Linked DNA regions of Drosophila melanogaster. The protein of the gene in region 1 interacts with the protein of each later gene in a pairwise test. Each region holds a gene or a part of one and is shown in the gene's direction. Other genes may lie near its edges.

Region 1 (10,760 bases):
ATATATATATGCAAGCCTTTACGGCAAACTCTGTACGTCCTGTCTTCATTAAGCTGATAGCAGTGAAAGTCGTACTGCTCATCTTCAAGCCATAAATTTTTATTAAATTGAAATAGCTTGCAATATTTTTATACAACATTCTGATAGCTTTACTTGATTTACTTAATGAAATTTGGTAATCCATATAGGGTCACTTAAGGATGCGATGAAATTTTACTCGAACTCCATTCGCATGACAACGACAGTTTTACACAAGGGGTTCCAGAAGCAAACTTCTATCCGAATAAAGCAGACTACACCTAGAGACACAGAGCTTGTGTATAAAATCTAAAATTATCTATATATATATATATATATATATATAAATTCGGGCATCAGGATGCGGAAGGTGCAGGCTTTGGTTCAGACGCGCGACGGCAAGAAGACCGTCTACGAGGTGGATCGCTTAGGAACGGTGGCCAGCCTGAAGGCACGGATCGGGCAAGCCATGTCCGTGCCCATGGGCTTCAGTCGGCTGTCGTACAAGGGTCGCGTGCTATCCAATCAGAGCGTACTGGAGGATTTGGGGCCCAATAAGTCCACCCTGGATCTCACCTGGAAGCCGGTCGTCCTGACGGCCAATCAGAGCAGCAAGTTAAGCAAGTTCGGCTATGGCAGGATAGACGATAGTGAAGTTATGTTTACACTGATCGGCGGCTACCAGCAACGCGAAGAATATCCTGGTGGCATAGTCAATCCACCGGACGACGAAAGTCAACAAAACTTCAACGCAGGTGACGATGATGATGCACTGGAGGCCCAGGACATGACTGGACACGATTTGTCCTCAATTCAAACCGATGATTTATCGCTCAAAGGCCAGACGGAACCGGAGCTGGATTGCTCCATTGGATCTCATGGATTCTCTGGATCTCAAGAAGAAGGCCAAGAATAACGACAATGTGTAGTAGACTGTTGTAAATTATTTTAAATTAAAAAGATTTAGTCCTCGTTTCAGTCCTCAATCTAAATTTACGATACAAGCATAAATAATAAATCTTTAGTCGATTTTATCCGTTTGCATTTCATTTCCAATTGTTTACACTCAAACAAATAATTAACGATGGCCAATGCCATAACAATTTTTTAAATTTATTAATTATAGACTGCATGGTACGATCTGCTGCGATCGAAATGCTTCTGAAAATGCCAAAAAAAAGGGGAAAAAAAATTAACTCAAAATAATTGTAAACAGTAGTGCGGCAAACGAAAATCAGGGAAAACATTAACAAGCAGTTGTTCCATAAATCCAGGACGCAACTGGATGCGTAGATTTATATGGAAGAGGAGAGTAGGGGGGAGGGTAAACAAATCGATTCACTTGGAGACCCCGTGTGCCAGGTAACATATACTACTACATGCTATATATTGTAGATATACCATCTATATGTATACATATGTATGTACCCACTAATTGGAATGGCCGTGGCTGATGAAAAGCAGACGCACCCGGTTAATCGGGCTGTTTCACTTTGATCGGTCCAGTTTTCTCGGCTTCCCCGGATCTCCATCTCCGCTGGTCCCACATTCCGGGCTCCAATGGCCAACAGACGCCATTTTCGACCGCCCATCTCACTCCCTCTTGTGGCGGAGGTGGTGGCCGCCGCTACACTGAGCGCAAATGCTAATTCAAATTTTGTAAGAAAAATCAATATAAATTTAATGACAATTTGCGAGCTTGAACTTTATAACAAAGTTGCAGAGCTTTCGAGAGAAGATTACTCGAGTTAACTCTTTAAGATGCTGACCTTGACATTGACATTCGATCACACATTATATATATAATATATTAGTTGGGTTCTTTCCAAAAGGACCATAAGTTTTGATATATAGTGTAGTATTATATAGTAGCGGTTAATAAAACATAGGCAATTAATTAAATTAAATCGTTAAGCAAGAGCCGGCGATAACCTTTCGCATCGAGTGAAGCTTAAACCGTGAGAGAAATGTGCGAATCGAGAGCACAAAAAGCGGGGAGAGCGGGAGACATGGGCGGGTATATTGGGGGGCTAAAATTTCCAAAAATAATAATTAATTGTTTCTACAAATACTAATACCTTTAAATGAATAAACGAAATGAATAACCTGGTCATCGCTAAAAGTTTACTATGATACTATTTAATGGGTATCAAAAACTACACTACTTATATTACCCCCTTTTAGAAAGTAGTTTTGCTTACGCTCCTGGTCATAAAAATAAAAGCACCAAGCTTTAGTCAGCTGTGCAAAAGCTGCCGGAGAATCAGGTAAAAGCCAAAGCGAGTTAAGGCAAAAAGACAGCCAACTGTTGCCACTTCAGCGGTGTGGAAATTAGAAAGTAATATAGTCCGTGTTTTTCACGCAATCATGGACCTGAAACAGCGCACATATCTCCTGGTGACCGGTGCATCACGTGGAATTGGCCGTGAGTTCGCCCAGCAGTTAGCCAAACGGATCAAAGCCGAGGGTTCCATGGTGACGCTTCTGGGACGCAATCAAACCCTTTTGCAGGAGTCTAAGGCAGAGATTGTCGCCACAGTGCCAGATCTATCCGTGCAAACCTATTCGCTGGAGCTGGAAACGGCCAAAACGGAGGACTTTACCAAGATTCTGGAGGCATCCGGTGGAAAGAACAATTTCGAGCGAGCCATAGTCATTCATAATGCCGGCACAGTGGGCGATACGTCAAAGAGGGCCAAAGAAATCGGAGATACCGACTTCCTACAGCGCTACTACCACTCCAATGTCTTCTCGGCCATTTCGCTAAACTGCGAGTTTATGCGCGTCTTCAAGGGAATCCCAAAGTTGGTGGTTAATCTCAGCACCTTGGCAGCCATTGCACCTATATCCTCGATGGCACACTATTGCACGGTGAAGGCAGCCCGTGAGATGTACTTCCGAGTGCTGGCCACCGAGGAGTCCGCCGAGGACACCCTGGTGTTGAACTACGCGCCCGGCGTCATAGACACACAGATGACCGTCCAGGTTCAGCGAGAGGCCCACGATCCCGCCGTGGTCGCCATGTTTCGAGAGCAAAGGGAGTCCAAGACCATGCTGACTCCCGCCCAAACGACGGAGCGATTCATCAAAGTCCTGGAAGCATTCAAGTTCAAGTCCGGCGATCATGTGGATTACAGGGATGAGCAGTTCTAGCTAGTTAATCAGTATGTTGCTATCTGTGGTAATGGGGTTTTTCGTATTGAAACATTAAAATGAAACTAAAAATGTGCGCAAGTGTTTTTGCTACAACACCCAATACATCTTAATGAACTTCAAAGCTGATAAGATATGTGTATGATGTTTATGATTTACGCATTCTTAAATCTTCTTTCCAACAACTCGGCATCTATTTATAAGAAATATACAATTCGTAACAACACTGTGGGACTATGTATAGTATTCTCTAATGAAATTAAACATGAATAATGTAGCTGGGTTATGGGTAATGTTATGTACTAAAAGAAATCGGCTGCAGTGCGTCGTTTAGTGGGTATCTTGAGCAGATCGTCCGTGAGCGTGGATCCCGTATCAATGGTAACGTTCTTAGCCGGAGTGCTAATCTTGGCCTGCTGTTTGGGTTTGGGTTCACCCAGTATTGGCGTATTGGTGCTCCTCACCACGCCGGGCGTAACCTTTCGTTTTCTGCCGCTCATCGGCGATGGTGTGTGCCTTAATCGGGGCGTGCCGCGGATACCCAGCTTACCCGTGGCCAGTAGCTGCGCTGCCGGCGACATGCTGGCCAGCCGTTCCATATTGGTGCGTATCAGTGGTGAGCCAATGTTACGACGCGCCGTATCCAGAGCCATTTGTTTTTGATTTCGCATCCTTTCGCTGACCCTTTCGGCCAAAGCGATGGCGATGTTTTCGCGCCGAGAGTTCTCATTAATCCGGAACGAGGGTCCTTGTGTGGGCCGCAATGGGGTATCGCCTCCGTCCAGGCGAAAGGGAGTGCCATCGATCTCACCCCAGGTCATTATGGGCGAGAAAGCCTCTCCGGGTCGCGGTGATGGTGAACGCAACAAATCGAAGCCGCGTACCTTCGGAGTAGCTGTGGCACCACCAGCCCCATTTTGGGGCACTTCATCATTCAGCTTTTTAGTGTCCATTTCGCGATGCTTTGCCTCATCGGGCAGCCTGGTGGCATTGTGTTGGATGCTCTGCTTCCGTTCGGCCAACTGGACGCGCTCCTCCTCTGTGTACTCCACGCCATCGGGCACGTACATAATGGAATTCATGTTGGTGTAGTTCCAGGTTTCGATCTTTCTCAGCGGATCTGGCTCCTCGAATTGCGTTTCTATGCTGGGCAGCATTAGGGCCCGCTGCAGTTGCTCTGCGGAGAGCTTCTCATGGTTGTACAGTACTGCGTATTTTTGGCGCAGCTTGGCCTCGGCCGTTTCGATGATCTCCTGAAAGCTCTGGTTATCCTCGCTGGTGTACTTCTGCAGAAAGGCGTCCAGCGATAGCTTCGCGGTGGTGTCCCTGCCCTCGGCATCGCTCTTCTCGGAGCCGTCCGTGGAAAATGGTGTGTCTGTGGCCCGGGAATTTGGCAATGGGGTGTTGCTACATTTCGCCTGACTCACTGGTGTCTCAAATGTGGCCGGGGACATGGCTGAAATGAAGGAATTCAAAAAGTTAATGGGTCTATCTATTGAACTTGGCCAATGTATAATTTCATCAGACTTGATTTCAAGTAAGATAGTAGCAGACAGCGATGTGCCAGTGGTGTTCATCCAATTGAGTACAATACCCACCATTATTCCGTCGGCTGGTGCTTCTTCCTGTCCCGGAAATCCTGCCCAGACTGTAGCGCTCCCGAATCTCGGCCATTTGTACAAAGTCGCGCCGTGACTCCGCGTCCAGGTAGTCGTTTTGGGCACGCAGCCGCTCCAGATCGGGAAAGAAGTCGCGCTGGATGATCTTAGACATCTCCTCGATGTACTTCTCCTCGGTAAGGATCTTTGGCTTGTTCTTGTGGCGCACCATCGCCGTGGGCTTTTTAAACTCGGCGAGTGCTGAATTCTGGACGCGGGCCACTTCCATGGCCAGGCTGCCGGGAGTGCCAGGTGTCCCCGGTGTGGCAGGTGTTCTAGTCGTGGCGCTCATTGCCGTTTATATCTCGCTTTTTTCGTAAATAACTTTGTTTTGTTTAGATATAAAAAGTGAATATTTTTGTCTGCCAGCAAAGTGTGACCGTTTTAAGTTTCACTCAGAATAACAAAACGTCGGTTCAAAATATTTCCCTGTATTTTTTTTTAATTCTCGGATGTAAAAGGTGAAATTAATCAGCTTAAAAGTTTCGACTTCCTTTACAATAAATTGGTGAGTATGAACCAATTTAAATTTAAATAGAAACAAAATGATATTTTGCTAAACTATATTAATTAAAAACTCTGGCAAGGAGTACTTATCGACGTGTTATCGATAAGTGTGGAACGCATTCAAATGCGCGCTAGCATTTGAATTGAAATTTTAATGCGATTAGCTAGCACTTGAAAATGAAATTTATTACGATTTTGCAAACATTAAAGATATATTTTTAAAACATCTGGAAGTTTCGCAAGTGCGCTGACTAACCCGCTGAACATAATTTATGAAAATGAATGTATGCCAAAGAGCGACAACTTTAGCGTCGTGAATCATTTCAAAACACTTTTTTTTCTCAACTCACCAATAGAATTACTGTTGTCGTGGTGCCTTATCGTAAAGCTGTAGGTATATATGAATAGGGTATAAAGCTCGGCAAAACTCAAATCACTCATTGAACCTTTTCTACTCCCTTAGTTCTGGTTCAGCTCCGTAACCAGTCGCAACATTCGATCGTCGTGAAATTAGTTACATCAGTTATCAGCCATGAAGTTTTACCTGTTGGTGATTGCAGCCCTCTCGTTTTTGGCCTACATCAGTTGTGGTAAATGTTGTACCTGCCTAAATGTTGTTCCAAAATAAGTTTCACTTTTAATTTTCATCGGGATCGTATTTTTTTTTTTTTAATTTTCTTTTTGCTCTTTGAATTGAAAAACTTATTGAGTGTTTTATATAAGGTGTGATAAGCGGTGATATCATGGACACGGAAATAAATTCATGATAAGCTATCAATAGGCGAGTTTCCAAAGAAACTTTTAAAGGTTCTTAGCTTTGTAACTGGGCAAACATATTCTTTTTTTTCTAAGTGTGAGTGAGCCAGCAAAAAGATGTGAAAATTGTACGCCATATATTTAAACCATGTGTACATACAGCTGTGTTCAAAAAAATAGCAGTGCAAGAGAAACTAAGAAATGCGACGGTTTTTTTTTCATGTTTCGGGATCGAATTTTTATTCCACTTATTTTTGTGAATTGGAATGTGTAGATAGGGAAAAAAAGAAAATGTCGTTAGTTTTCTATGCTATCCTTTTTTTTATTTACATTCTTGAGCAAAATCACAACTTTTAGGCTGTTCAACAGAATAGCAGTGTCTGGTTTTGACCAACGTAAACTCCCGAAATGATCAATATTTTCTAAAAAGTGAGTTTGAATTTGAATTTGAATTTGTATATTTAAAAGGGCAATAAATTAAAAAAATAAAAAATAAAGAAACGCAGAAGCAAATCGGCTAAGAATAAGTTCGTTCTAAGTCAAGTTGAATTTTGTTACTATTTTTTCATAGCACTGCTATTTCTGCTTGTTTTAATCTATATTTTCGAAACTATTAAAAAAATGAATGTGAAACATTTGTTGAATTGTTTAAAATTAAATACCTAATGATATTATAAAAAAAATTTTCCCATTAAAACTTGAAATCTTAAGATTTTTTTATTTTAAACTCAAGCACTGCTATTTTTATGAACACAGCTGTATGTCAGCGGTAATTTAATTTCTCTTTGTGATGAAGTACATAGTTATTCCGTTTCATTATTAAAGTTGAAACATAATCTCGTACATTCGTACTTTCATGTAAACACTTGGTAAATATTTAATATTTACTGCCACCTGATATGCTAAATATAATTTGCTTGCAAGCTTTCGATTTATAGCCAATGTAAATTGACTCTTCTTATCAAAAACATACAAGTTTGCTGATTCACTTGTCATGGGCATGTTCGTAAGAATCGATTGTGGAAAATCGAGACAATTGCCATCCGAGTACAGTGCGCGTCATTGTAATAAGGCATGCAGGTAGATACATAAAAAGAAATAATCAAACACATTCAAACACATATGCACTGTGGTAGGTAGGCAGACTTTGCACGAAATCAATATGATGTCATTATGCCAACGCAACGATTACGAAAAACTTGATCTAATCTAATCAGGCATGACTCAATCGAAACGCTCCGTTCCACTCGCTCAATTTGCAGATGGATGCATCCAGTGCAATTCGAAGGACAACGAACGCTGCGCCACAGATCCATTGAGCCTGCTCAATCGCAACTGTTCCGATGGATCCTCCAACTGCTATTCCCGCGTCCTGGGTATGTTATCGCATTGATTACCCTGGCTGCACCATCTAATGGTATCTTTCGCAGATGGCTACACAATTCGCGGCTGTGCCGTCGATCTGGACAACGCCACGCGTAATTCGTGCAACAACGAGCTACTGTGCCAGCTGTGCACCTACAGCGAGGGATGCAATCGAAACACCTTCCCGTTGAGCCGCCTCATGTGCCTACAGTGCACAGGGAACTCGACCTCGTCGTCCTGCGCCACAGAGACCTATGTATCGGCCAAGATCTGCCCGCTGTACAAGTTCGGCGACAAGTGCTACATTCGCAATAGCAATCGCACCGTGGACGGATCCTTCCAGCGCGGCTGTCTCACCTCGGCGAATGCCAGGAAGCAGTGCGTCAAGGATGGCAACTGTTATACGTGCGAGGGACGCGGCTGCAACTTTCTGCTGGCCAATGATACCAACATTCCGCTGGCACGCGACAGCGGTGCCCAGTTGATCATCTCCATGACGCTGCTGATCAGCGGTCTTGTCGCCGCCTGGAGACTCTAAGATGTAACGACGGCCAGAGTCGAATGATGGACGAAAGTCAATCATGCCACAGACCCAGTTCTTTTAGAAATTCCCGTCTTATTATTTTCTACATTCTAAAACATCATTATACATACATACATACACTGGGATGTTACATTTATACTCGTTTATTTCATTACTTTGAACAAAACGTTAATAAAGATAACTAAACTAAAGAAGACAAAAATAGAAATGGTTTAGTTATTACATTTTGGGATTGGGGGATAACCAAAACGTTGCTCACTTTGAACAGTTCTTCATCGTAATGTTTTTTGAAGCAAAAGTAAGCATAAAACTTTAATGCATAAACACAGTGAACACACATTTCACTTTTTACGAGGTGTCAACGGGTTGGCACTGCAGTTGACAACATGCCACTGTGTTTATGAAGTCCCGATTTCAATTGCGATACCCTATACCTCTATTCCTCGATTCCGATCCCAGACCAAGAGAAATCGACGACGAGCCGCAAGTACCGGAGTGGCAGTTGGAAAACCGGAAGCTCTCGGCGCAAATGAGGAGTGCATAAATGTGTCGACGCCTCCGAATGTTTGTCAATTACTTTTCACGGCTCGCTTTTCCGGATGCCATTTTCCATTCGATCGAACTGGATGTGCGGAAATAGATCAGTTTTGTGCATGGTACTCGGCTCCAGCGATTTGTTAACTAAACTAACTATTTATAGGCAACATACGTACGTGGAAATATATATACATATGTACTGTGCGGGTTTTTAAATGCAAGTTATAATATTAGTCAATTTGATTTAAATGCTTTTTTCTTGTTCCAATTAGGTAGTCAAATTCATTTCGCTAGAACTTCGTTGCCATCAACTTTCTGATAGCTTGTACTTGATTTTCTTCGATTTTGTTTATGAAATTCGATTGGAGAATCAACAAATGTTGATTAGGCTATAAGGTAATCCAAGGATGCCATGAAATTTTACTCGCACTGGCATTCGCATGACGACGACAGTTTTACACAAGGGGTTCCAGAAGCAAACTTCTATCCGAACAAAGCAGACTACACCTGGAGACACAGAGCTTGTGTATAAAATCTAAAATTATCTATATATATATATATATATATATATATATATAAATTCGGGCATCAGGATGCGGAAGGTCCAAGTTTTGGTTCAGACGCGCGACGGCAAGAAGACCGTCTACGAGGTGGATCGCTTAGGAACGGTGGCCAGCCTGAAGGCACGGATCGGGCAAGTCATGTCCGTGCCCATGGGCTTCAGTCGGCTGTCGTACAAGGGTCGCGTGCTATCCAATCAGAGCGTACTGGAGGATTTGGGGCCCAATAAGTCCACCCTGGATCTCACCTGGAAGCCGGTCGTCCTGACGGCCAATCAGAGCAGCAAGTTAAGCAAGTTCGGCTATGGCAGGATAGACGATAGTGAAGTTATGTTTACACTGATCGGTGGCTATCAGCAACGCGAAGAATATCCTGGTGGCCTAGTCAATCCACCGGACGACGAAAGTCAACTAAACTTCAACGCAGGTGACGATGATGATGCACTGGAGGCCCAGGACATGACTGGACACGATTTGTCCTCAATTCAAACCGATGATTTATCGCTCAAAGGCCAGACGGAACCGGAGCTGGATTGCTCCATTGGATCTCATGGATTCTCTGGATCTCAAGAAGAAGGCCACGAATAACGACAATGAGAAGTAGACTGTTGTAAATTATCTTAAATTAAAAATATTTAGTCGTCATTTAATTTCGAAATTCCTTTAAGCCAAACGCTTCGATTTGGAATCTAAATTTACGATACAATAATAAACCTTTAGTCGATTTCGTCCATGATGGAAATTTTACAACAAATGCATTACACTCATTTATATATAATATTTATATAATCGATAAAAAAGATCGAATATCGAATTTATGAATCATTTAAGTAATTTCTTCGAAGCAGTTAGCATTTCATTTCCAATTGTTTACACTCAAACAAATAATTAACGACTAAAATGGCATGGCCAATGCCATAACAATTTTTCAAATTTATGTATTATTTATGGACTGCATGGTACGATCTGCTGCGATCGAAATGCTTCTGAAAATGCCAAAAAAAAGGGGAAAAAAAATTAACTCAAAATAATTGTAAACAGTAGTGCGGCAAACGAAAATCAGGGAAAAACATTAACAAGCAGTTGTTCCATAAATCCAGGACGCAACTGGATGCGTAGATTTATATGGAAGGGGTGAGTAGGAGGGAGGGTAAACAAATCGATTCACTTGGAGACCCCGTGTGCCAGGTAACATATACTACTACATGCTATATATAATAGATATACCATCTATATGTATACATATGTATGTACCCACTAATTGGAATGGCCGTGGCTGATGAAAAGCAGACGCACCCGGTTAATCGGGCTGTTTCACTTTGATCGGTCCAGTTTTCTCGGCTTCCCCGGATCTCCATCTCCGCTGGGCCCACATTCCGGGCTCCAATGGCCAACAGACGCCATTTTCGACCGCCCATCTCACTCCCTCTTGTGGCGGAGGTGGTGGCCGCCGCTACACTGAGCGCAAATGTTGCTCACAGCTAATTCAAATTTCGTATGAAAAATTAGCAGTAATCCTTTTTTTTATGTATTAAGTATTAATTCATATTCTCTTCGTATTTCTTATGTTTAATGCAATTTTTTCCAAAAACTTATGATTATTCCAAATGAATTGAATTTTTTGGGTGCGCCTTGCCAACGTCTTAATATTCCGTTTTCCTT
Region 2 (10,133 bases), on another chromosome or scaffold:
TTTTTGATTTGTAGCGGTAGAGTATTCCGCATTTGGCAACACAAAAAACTGCTGGCCAGCATTTTTTAACTGAAATTGCCACACGCAAGCCATCGCCATCGCTTTGTCACGTTAAGAGGAGAGTCTGAAGAAGATTTGTCCAGGTCTGCGTCTTCAGGTCGAACAGAGATTACTGGTGCGGGGCCTGTAATTTTGTATTGACATTGGGTCATTTGATACAGTTTTCCAGCTCATTTGCTTGTAATTGGGCACCAAAGTCTCGCCCAGACTCCGCATGGAATCTTCGGAGACTCCCCTCGCGCATTCCCCGCACCAAAAGCCTGGGCTCGGGTTGACGACTTTTCAAATTACCAGTAATATTGTGGAACTTATATATTTATTAATCAGGATTTCGTGTGAAAAATGCGTCCAGAGTGCGTTCAAAGTTGCTGCTTGAGCTCGGCTCAGCAGACAGCAACAAGAACAACATTTTCGGCAGGACCCTTCAATTTAATGTCAACGACGTCGGTGGCGTTGGCATCACTTCATCTCTGGGCCAACTTTGTTGGCCTTTTTTTTCTGGTTGACAGTAGCTTTGATTGAGGATGGAGATGGGGTTGCTTGCCACCTGCATTGACTGGCCTCCGACTCCGCGCTGTTTTTTTTTTTCGATCGACTGTCGCGACCCGGAGTGAGTGAGAACTTAATCCCTTGGCCCCAATTATTCAAGTAATTAAGTATTAATGTGCGAAATTTTATCACCTGCGGCAAGGGGTGAGCCCGATTTGTGCTGGACAAGCCGTGATTTTCCAGCCGATTTGTGTTTAAACGGTCGTGAAAGTGGGGCTTCTCGAACACGATATCGTCGATGAGTTGAGCATTGGAAAAAATGGAATATCTCTGAGGAGATCCATATGCGTCTATTTAAATTGAATTCACATTTAACAAATAATCATGTGTGTTATCCCAACCTCCAATTAATAGAAACTAGGCTTAGTCGAGCTAGAATATTCTCGGAATAACCATAACTTTGATTGATTGCCTATAAAATATCTCGGACTGAACAAGGTGCGCCGCCTCTGGTCGCCCAAGATCTAAAGGATCGTTTCTCGTTCGTGTGCAATTAGCAGATATAATCCGTGTGATTCCACCCAACTAAAATGTCAATAACAATAAATTCCTGGCAGCTAAGCGCCGACAAAACTGGCGATCAAGATAGCAATGTGATCAGCTCATAACTGTCAAGAGGAAATCAATTGATTTGCTCAAAGGACCGGCCCAGCGAAAAGGGATAGGGAAGCCAGAACCGGCAAGGATACTGCGCGGACCCCACAGGACTTGCTTCGCATAATATTTTAGGGGCGTGTTCCGCCTGTCAACATTTTATGTTGGTGGTCAGAGAGTCAAATTGTGGTCGCAACTGACACAGCAGCCCAAGAAAGGCAAACTGCTTGGATGCTGGGAACCGTGCGGGTGTTCCCAGGACAGGTCCTTGAGCGGACAATGGAACAATGGCGAGTCCTTTGTGAAACAAAGGCCCCTACTTACAACACATTATGACACGAAATCGAAAACGAAAACTACTCGGAATGCCAACGGGCATTCAATGGCCCTTCAACGAACTGATTCATTGCTATTGCTCTATTTCTGGGGCTCCTGGCGAGCAGCGGCATGTCCTTGCGACTCCTTTTGATGCTTTCAATTTGCGTGAACCACAACTAATTTTATTGCTTAATTTTTTTTGTGTGCCAGTGGCTTTGCGGCGATTTGTCTAATTGAATTGCGCGATCTGTAAAATTATACATTTGTCTCCTTAGCCAAGTTCATTATTTATTTCTGTATCTTCGATATTGGGGTTTAATGTAAATGAACTTTTTTGTTATCGTTGCCCTTGATTTGCTTTTGTTTTGTTTATGGTCGTTTTGTAAACGATTTGGGAATTTTATACGCTCGACTTGGCGGATAATTTGCCCATCGAAGCGATTTATTATTCAAGATTTATTTGGACAATTTGTTTTTATTTTCGATCATTAAAAAATTATAAGGAGAGTATAAAGTTTGTAATGATTCGAACTACTTTTATTGTATTCTAAAACACTTATTCGAGAAATGTAATCCATATTTTTTGTTTCTCGATATAAAGAATGTACTGAGATAGTTTGTGATCTTCTGTGAACCCTAAAGATCATAAGATTCTTCTAGCATTCTCATAGAGAAACCAATTACCGTGGCGGGCAACTTTCGGAGTTGGCCAGCTGACGCATCGATGTTTTAAAGTGATCCTGCGGCACACGTGTTCATTTGCTGGCATACGCGCGATTTCGGGGCTCAATTCGGATTCGGTAAGCCGAGCCCCGAATGTCTGTGCATCCTTGTCGGCCTCACACCTTCCCCCCAACCCAATACCCAATACGGATTGCCCGTTACTCTCGTCGCGTTCCCCCAGGTGCAACCCTTTCCAGTTCCTTTTTTTTTCTTGGGGGGATCCGCTTGTCCGCTTGCCGAGTCCTTAAAGCCGCTTATCCTGCTGTCGCTGTTCGGGTTTCGGGCTCGGCTGCCTTCCCTGTTCTTCCTGCACTCGTGCTCCGATCGGAAGTCAGTAGTAACTGTTGGGCGAGTGCTCCTGCTTCCTTGAAATTGTCTGCCAGGTCAGAGGCAAGAAAGACCCAACCGTAAACGAAACAGCTACAAAAAGTATAATTTCAACTGAGCGGGGAAACGGACCACGCACTGGAAGAAATTAGATTGTTCTTAGAATAGATACTATGAATATATAGAATATATAATATAATATATTTAGATTATTATATTGGAACCCTTTTGAAAGAACTGTCAAAATTCTATAGACGTGGGCAATTGTTTTGGAATTCGACAAACTCGTTAAGCTTCCTGAAAACTCAAAACTCATTAGTTGTAGTTAAAATATTGCAATCTGTTTATCAGAGATCTGGAATTATTTCAACGTTCTGTATACTACAAAATGCTATTATTTGGTCGATATAAGAAAGTTTTTACTCTCAAACAGCATGGAATATTTTTTCTAAGTGTTGGGGCGAAGGAGCGTGGGCAACCCAATTTCCAAAGTCAAAAGTGGCACCAGATGACGGCGTGCGTCGTCCGTTTGTTCTGTTCCAAGGAGCGGGCTAGAAAGGGACAGGACGAGAGGTCCTGCTGGAGGAATGAGGGGAGGAGGAGGAAAAGACCGGCCAAAGATGGCATATGTTGCGCCTTGGCTCTATCTCGCTTTGGCCAATGCCCCGCAGTGGGTCCTTTTCGCTGGCTTTCACTCGCACGCCACGCGGCTCGTCCTGCAGACAGCCAGCAACAATAACGATTATTCGGCATTGTGTGAGCAAGACACGCCATTTGGTCGCAGGCGGAAACCTCGATCCTTCAACCTCAAGCATCCCATATTTATATGTACATAGTAGACAACTGCTAGCTAGCTAGCTCCCAGCAGCTAAGAGCGATCCGCTCTTGATTCAGTTACAGTTACCCAAAAGTTCAGCAGTAGCACTTGGAAGCCCACGCAATTAAAGGTGCATCAATCAAAATTAAAGACAATCCGGCAGCGATTTTTAAACGCCATCTAGGCACGTCAGCCGAATTCTGAAAGAAGACGGCCCTTTGATATGCGAATCTTCCGACATGTGTGCATGACAATATCACTTGTGCCAATATGGCTCAAGGTAAAGACTATTAAATTCAAATTAATGCTTAAATCCTGACAAGCAATCGCCAAATATAAACGAACTCCTCTGAATTGTGCTAAAACTCAAACAAAAAGGAATGTGTTCACAATAATAATAGGAAAAATTTTATTTAAAATATTAAAAATGCATAGATTTCTTTAAAAATATATGTAGGATGTTTATTGTTTAGCACAATTGTTTATCTTATTAATATTTTATAGAAGTATAGTTTGCTTATTATATTAGGTATTTAATAAAAAGATGACTCGTGCCAACACTTCTTGATCTCCGGGCATACGACGACTACACAACTTTTCCTTACTCCGGACACGACAACTTTCGGCTTTAAGATCTTTTTTTAATTACACAACCTTCAACTCGCTTTGTTCTACTTCTACTTTAAGCTTGTCCTATTTTCTTACCTTTGCTACCCTTTGCGAAGATTATCGATCATCGCATATCGATAACTATTGTTACATACATATTATTTTGTTTATTAGTACATGTATTAAAATATGGTATTTTTAAAGTTTGGCCAAACGTTTATTTCTATTGATACCATTGGCTGGTAAAAAAGTCTGATAACAAGTTTGGTTCGCGTTAGAACCCATAATTCGTCAGGCAGAAAACTTGTTAAAATGGTGAATCTTGACTTAGAAATGATTTTGGAGACTCTCCTGAACGCGGCGAGGAGGAAAAGGGAAAGGGAACACCTTGAAGGTTCTTCGGAAGGTAAGTTCCGCCAACGGCATATAAACATAAACATAAACATAAACGGTCAACTTACAGAAGGCGAGTATAAAACACTAAACGATTACCTACCTATCATATCAATTGTATTTGAAATGTAGGAGTTATCTACTGGATGTATGAGAAAATTGCGGATTTGACCTTGAGGGTCCTGGCAGAATTGGTTGACTTTGTGAAGGCAGCTATTATAAAAATAGTTGGTGTCGCTACAAATGCTGTGGAGTGTTTCAAGCGTGATTTTACAGTGCAATGTGCCGCATTGGAAGCCTTTGTGGTATTTTTAACCAGTAATTTGGGATTTCAACTGGAAATGTAATTATTCATGCGGTTCAAAAAATTCCATTCCATGCCTGCTAAATCATTGGATGCACTGCCATAAGATTATGATTTCTTTATACTTGGGTTCTGATATCGGGTACTCCTAAAAAAAAGCTTTCAATCTACATATGTACATATGCGAAGCTTGATTGCAATGATAGATTAAAATTGATTTCGATGATTTGGTTTGTATCGAGTAACTCCCCTCCACAGTGGCGGATATACAATTATTGCACTACTGATAACGAAATAACAACGTGATTGTACTCAGTTGTTAGAAAGATCGTCACCGGGAAAGAAGTAAAACTTTGTAACGGAAATATACATAAATTGAAAATATGGATTCAGCCATCTCAGAGATAATCAATGCCCTGGCTATACTGGCCGACGATAAAAATATCCAGTTGACCATCAAGGAGGCCGGCAAGGGAGCTGCAATTTGTGCTGGCGCTGCGCTGATCGGAGGACTACTGCTGGGCCCCCGGGGACTGGCACTGGGCGGGGCCATCGGTGGTCTCACCGCCTACGGACTTACGGAGGGCAAGAGTGTCTAGCGTTACATGGTGACTATCATTCTTATCAGTCTTTTAATTCCAGGAAATTTCAAATCTCTAAGTGAGGTCATTTTGAACGATTTGACGGAGAGTCAGCGTCGAGAACTGGAGCAGCACGTGATCAGGGCCATATCCGAAGTTAGAAATGTACGCGTTCGAGATGTCGCAAGACTAATACTAAATAACCGGCATGTGCAAGAGGTTGCACTCGAAGCAGTCAAGTCCTATATCACTGATCGTATGGGAATGACCATCGTTGATTAGGCATTAATAGAAATATTTTTTAAACTATATTTCTCGATGATTAATGCTATAACACAGAATTTTGCCTGCAACATAAATAAATTGTTGGCGCACTGAATGATTTTATTTTAAAATCTATAGTAAAAACCATTTCAGCTTATAATTTAATAGTCAGTGACTAGCCTTTTCGATGTGCCAGATGTAAAAAGATTGTTTTGCTCAGAGCTCGGCTTTCAATAGACAAGAGTCGCGCGATCTACGTCATCAAAATCCGTCAGATGTCTGGAGGAGCTGAACAGATGTTGGAGTAGGCGGAATTTGTGCAGCTACACTACCAAGGCGATCATCAGCAGGGCAACAACTGTTACAAGCAGTAAAAATAAGATAAAATTCAGAGACTCTTAGTGAAATTGCGGCAAGAGCCGAAATAAAGAGTCGTAGAAATTTCGTTGCTGCACTGTGAACGACGAGAGAGATGTGTGATGCGATGCTTTGGTGTATCTCACGGATGCACAGATACTCGCTTCGGATATTCGCTCAGTGTGCGGTAGGCAGGTCAAAATAATTTTGCTTACTGCGGAAGCGAGAGGAAGAGGAAAAAAACTGGCTGATCTCGATCTCGATCTCCGTCTCTATCTCTTTCTAGGGCCAGCTGTCGCCCATTTGGATCGGATCCGTATGCTACTATATCTTATATCGTGTGGCTGCCACGTGTCGTGGGCAAGTCCATTGGGCAATTGGTCAGTTTAGCCGAACAATGGCCAATTAGTATGCATGCGACTTTGAAAAGTGAACTTGCGATTAGCCACAAAGTTGCCCAATATACATATGTACATATGTATATATATGCAATTACAGAGCAACCTCTCTAAGTCGAATCAAACTGAAATGAGATCTTGATACTAAGTAGTAATTTACTTCACTATTTATTGATCATTTTAAAATGTGTAAATTCCTTGGTTTAACACACGCCTCTTAGCGTTTTATAAGAACATAGTGATTTGAAATTGATTTTATTTCAATTCCAAGCCAGACTTTAAAAAGGCTTCACTGTGCCTGCAAATATGCTGATAGCTGTACCAGATCGACTGCAGCAGCTGTAAAATCAATCAAAAACTTGTCAAATAAATGTCATGCATAAGCAATAAGTGAACAGGATGTGGCGAGTCCTCGGCCCCTGTCATCTTGCGGGTGCATAAATTTGCCATTGGCTGTTTTTGCCTGGGTTCTCTCTTAGGACTATTGCTTACGGGAAGGGTCGGTCCACTATGATTGCCGGCACTGATCCTGCTCCTCGCGCAGATAGTCGCCGATGTGCTGCACCACCATGGCACTGCACAGCTGAGCCTGCACCACTTGATCCTCGGCGGTCTGGTGGGTCTGCACCAGGATTAGGGATGCATTGTGCATGGATTGGGCCATCCCCAGATTGATTTCCGCCATCGCGTTAATGAAACAGACACTTCCGCCAGCTGAAGCTAGAGGATTAAGCGGGGAAGCCCCCAGCAATTGGCACTTGGCCGGCAAGTGGGCAATCTGCTGTACGAATTCCTGTACTCTGGCCAAAGCCAGTTGACTCTCCAGACGGAAGTCTTCCAAAAGGCTTCCCAAGTCTTCCGTACACCCACCCAGCTGATGGGTCACATTTTCATTGAGCTCATCCAGGCTCCAGGCTGGGTTGCAATCGGGATTGGACACCACTAACTGGTTTGTCTCATAGATCACATCACTTAGTTCGGCCATAGCATTGGCGGTCAGGACCTCAATGTTACCGGCAATATTTTGCCGAGTGCGATTTATTTTCTCCTCCAACTGAATGGAGGTGTCGTCGCTGACACTTACGGCAATCTCTGCCAGATTGTCCACAACCATGGTAACAGGTCCATAGTTTGTAGTCTCTGTCTCCATCTTTGTTTCATAGCCGACTTCTTGGCAGTCCTGAAATAAAGGAGCATATGAATTTGAAAAGTACTATAAATGGAAAGTTACTATTAACTCACTGCCAAAGTCAGCAAAAGCAGAGCAAGTACTCCCAGAGTTTGACTCATCATCTTTCTGTTATATTTCCTAGTGCGACTGGCCCTACACTTGACTTCTTATATATGTCAAGAGATCCAGTGTCACGATAAGAGTGTGTCTCATAGCAATCACTACGAAACACAATTTGAGCATTAACTTGATGAACTGAGATGATGTTTTAGTACATGAACTTGGTATACTATTCAAAGTATTCTATTTGGTCATCGTATTTTTCGTAAATTTTCGTAATTTCTTTTTGTAAATTTCTCACCTTCGTTGAATAATGGAGGGATCAATTATACTTTTATTTGTAAAAGGGGAGATATTTACAGTTCAAGTTTGCTAAAGAAAGCTGAGGTTGATGACTAACTTGAAGCATATAGTCGTTACACAGTCATCATGCGATAAGAATCTTTCTTATAAACATTATAAGACACAAATGAGCCATTTGTCTAATTCAGAACTTAATTTAAGTTTTGTTCGGAACTTAAATACCCTAAAGTTTCATATTGATCACATATGACATGGGTATTTTTAGCAACTTACGCTGTTAAATTTTTCGGTATCCCAATATTTTCTTTATAAACAATAACAATTTTTGTTAAAGCGTTAAAACTCTTTCCCAAAAAAGAATTTAATTCTTAGTCTTAGTTAATTAAGGCAACCTTTGGCGATCTATAAATAAAAGGTATGGTATCTTCAATTTTTCGGGAATCAATTCGATTTAGTTTCAAGATGACAACAGTACGGGTGTCACTGCTTTTACTTCAGTCGCTTCTTTGTGTATGAAATAGCATTATTTGTGTAAAGTATAATATTAAAGAAAAGATCTTACAGGTGCATGGCCACTTTCAAAGAATTTGGGGACAAAATGGACCACTCTATGAGTCCACAAAGCAGCTTATAGCCAGCCAAAGCTCCAGTGCAGCCAGGATCTGGAACGTCACCCAACAGGCCCTCGATCAGAAGTTGGAGTATCTTCAAGAAGCCAAGGACACACTGGATGACCATCAGCAAGTGGTTAGTGGACGCTTGGAGATGTTTTTTGGAAGCCAGTACAGCGATGAGTGGCGGGCATGCTCAAAGAAGTACGAACTCCAGGTGGCACACTTCAATCGAGAGCTGGTGGACAAGTACAGTATCTGCAGGAATTCTCTGGACCACATCATGGATCATTTTCAGGAGGAAATCGTGCTGGAGGCTAATTTTCTGAGTAAGGCTTCGCGGGAGATCAGTGAGTTGTCAAACACCTGCAGAATCTGGCAGCTTAAGCAGTCTGGTTTCAATCACGCCGGAGTTTTATTATGCACTGTCGCTGGAATCGGGAGGATCAATCAGCGGATGATCAGCAGTCTGGAGCTGTGCGATGCAATTGTGCTGGAGATGTCCTTGGAAGACCTGGACACACCAAGTTGCCTCTTCTACCATCATCTGAAGATGGATTTCGATGACCTCTTTACGCAGATTGAGTCGTGTGCGATAAACTAGAAAGAATGTAATAAAGTCAAATGCACTATTAACTGTGGTCTGGTGTCGACTTGAAAATATTAATTACTTACATCAACTTTTACCTAATATTTATGAGCATAGTTATCTTTAATCGTTATCAGTTCGACCATTCATAAAAAGCCAAATAGAAATTTAAATTTTCTCTCGAAAAACATTGCCCCGTGGTGGTTTATATATAGCGTAATATTGGCGATAAGCCGGATAAGCCTAATCAACCTGCGCCACTTAAGAAAAACCAAGTGTGGTATCTTCGATAGTGTTTTACGAGCCATACTTCTTCCGATAATGAAGCTGGTCAAAATCCCTCCCTCAGTTGTACTGAAACAGTTGCCCGGGCAAAATGATTGGAAAAGCATTGCTTCTGCTGGGCTGTGTGCTGCTCTTCGCTTTTGGTGAAGCCAACCAGGAACTGGAGACTCTGCTGCAGAAGCAACAGGTGGACTTGCAGTTGTCTGGCGAGGAAGTGGCTGCTTTGCGTCCACTGTACCTAGAGTTTCAGGCGCAGTACAACTATCTGTACAGCCTGAGGCTCCAGAGCGGCGATGGGAGTGATCAGAATCCCGCGGAGGAGCCTGAACTGGATAGCAACTACCTACGGGCATTTGAAGACTTTCGCGAAAAGTTCTCCATTTACTTGGATGAGAAACCTCGAGTGGTGTATGACACAAAATTGCCCACTGTCGACGAGATCATGGGAAAGCCCAGTCCCGACTTCACACCAAATCAGAGGGCGGAATTCGAGGATCTCAGGGAGATTATTCAGGATGTTATTGACGAGGCACAGTTCGGCATTGACGACTTGGTGGAGAGGGCCATCCAACTGGAGACGAATCTGCTGAAGCTGAACAAACCAAAGATCGTGACCGCAGCCATTGCCGGATTGGGATACATGTGGAACTACTGGGGCCGCGGAAGTCAGGCCGCCTATTGCAGTTACTCGCTGGTCCCAGAGTTCCAGATAGGTCTGCAGGCCATTAACGATGGCGTTGATTGCTACTCCCGCACCATGGCCTTGGTAATGCGCATTCAGAATGAAACAGTGGCCGCTGTGAAGGAGGTTAAACGCAAT

Evidence for each region. Proteins that work in one complex are often made in the same cells at the same time.
Region 2: the proteins of CG15347 (region 1) and Nazo interact in a two-hybrid assay, tested with the Drosophila melanogaster proteins (one large-scale study listed by BioGRID).

Annotation. Positions count from the first base shown.
Region 1 is NC_004354.4:8,455,932-8,466,691, reverse strand, and holds CG15347 (uncharacterized protein), read left to right. Parts: upstream 1-5,793; 5' UTR 5,794-5,868; coding exon 5,869-5,926; intron 5,927-7,309; coding exon 7,310-7,468; intron 7,469-7,522; coding exon 7,523-7,995; 3' UTR 7,996-8,198; downstream 8,199-10,760. Other genes in the region: CG33223 (uncharacterized protein), read left to right, coding at 380-934; Sptr (sepiapterin reductase), read left to right, coding at 2,386-3,171; Es2, read right to left, coding at 3,474-4,627, 4,770-5,121; CG32713 (uncharacterized protein), read left to right, coding at 9,132-9,686.
Region 2 is NT_033777.3:8,282,962-8,293,094, forward strand, and holds Nazo (nazo), read left to right. Parts: upstream 1-4,914; 5' UTR 4,915-5,077; coding exon 5,078-5,279; intron 5,280-5,336; coding exon 5,337-5,557; 3' UTR 5,558-5,652; downstream 5,653-10,133. Other genes in the region: CG11672 (uncharacterized protein), read right to left, coding at 6,803-7,474, 7,537-7,587; CG31464 (uncharacterized protein), read left to right, coding at 8,291-8,338, 8,393-9,043; CG31463 (uncharacterized protein), read left to right, coding at 9,405-10,133.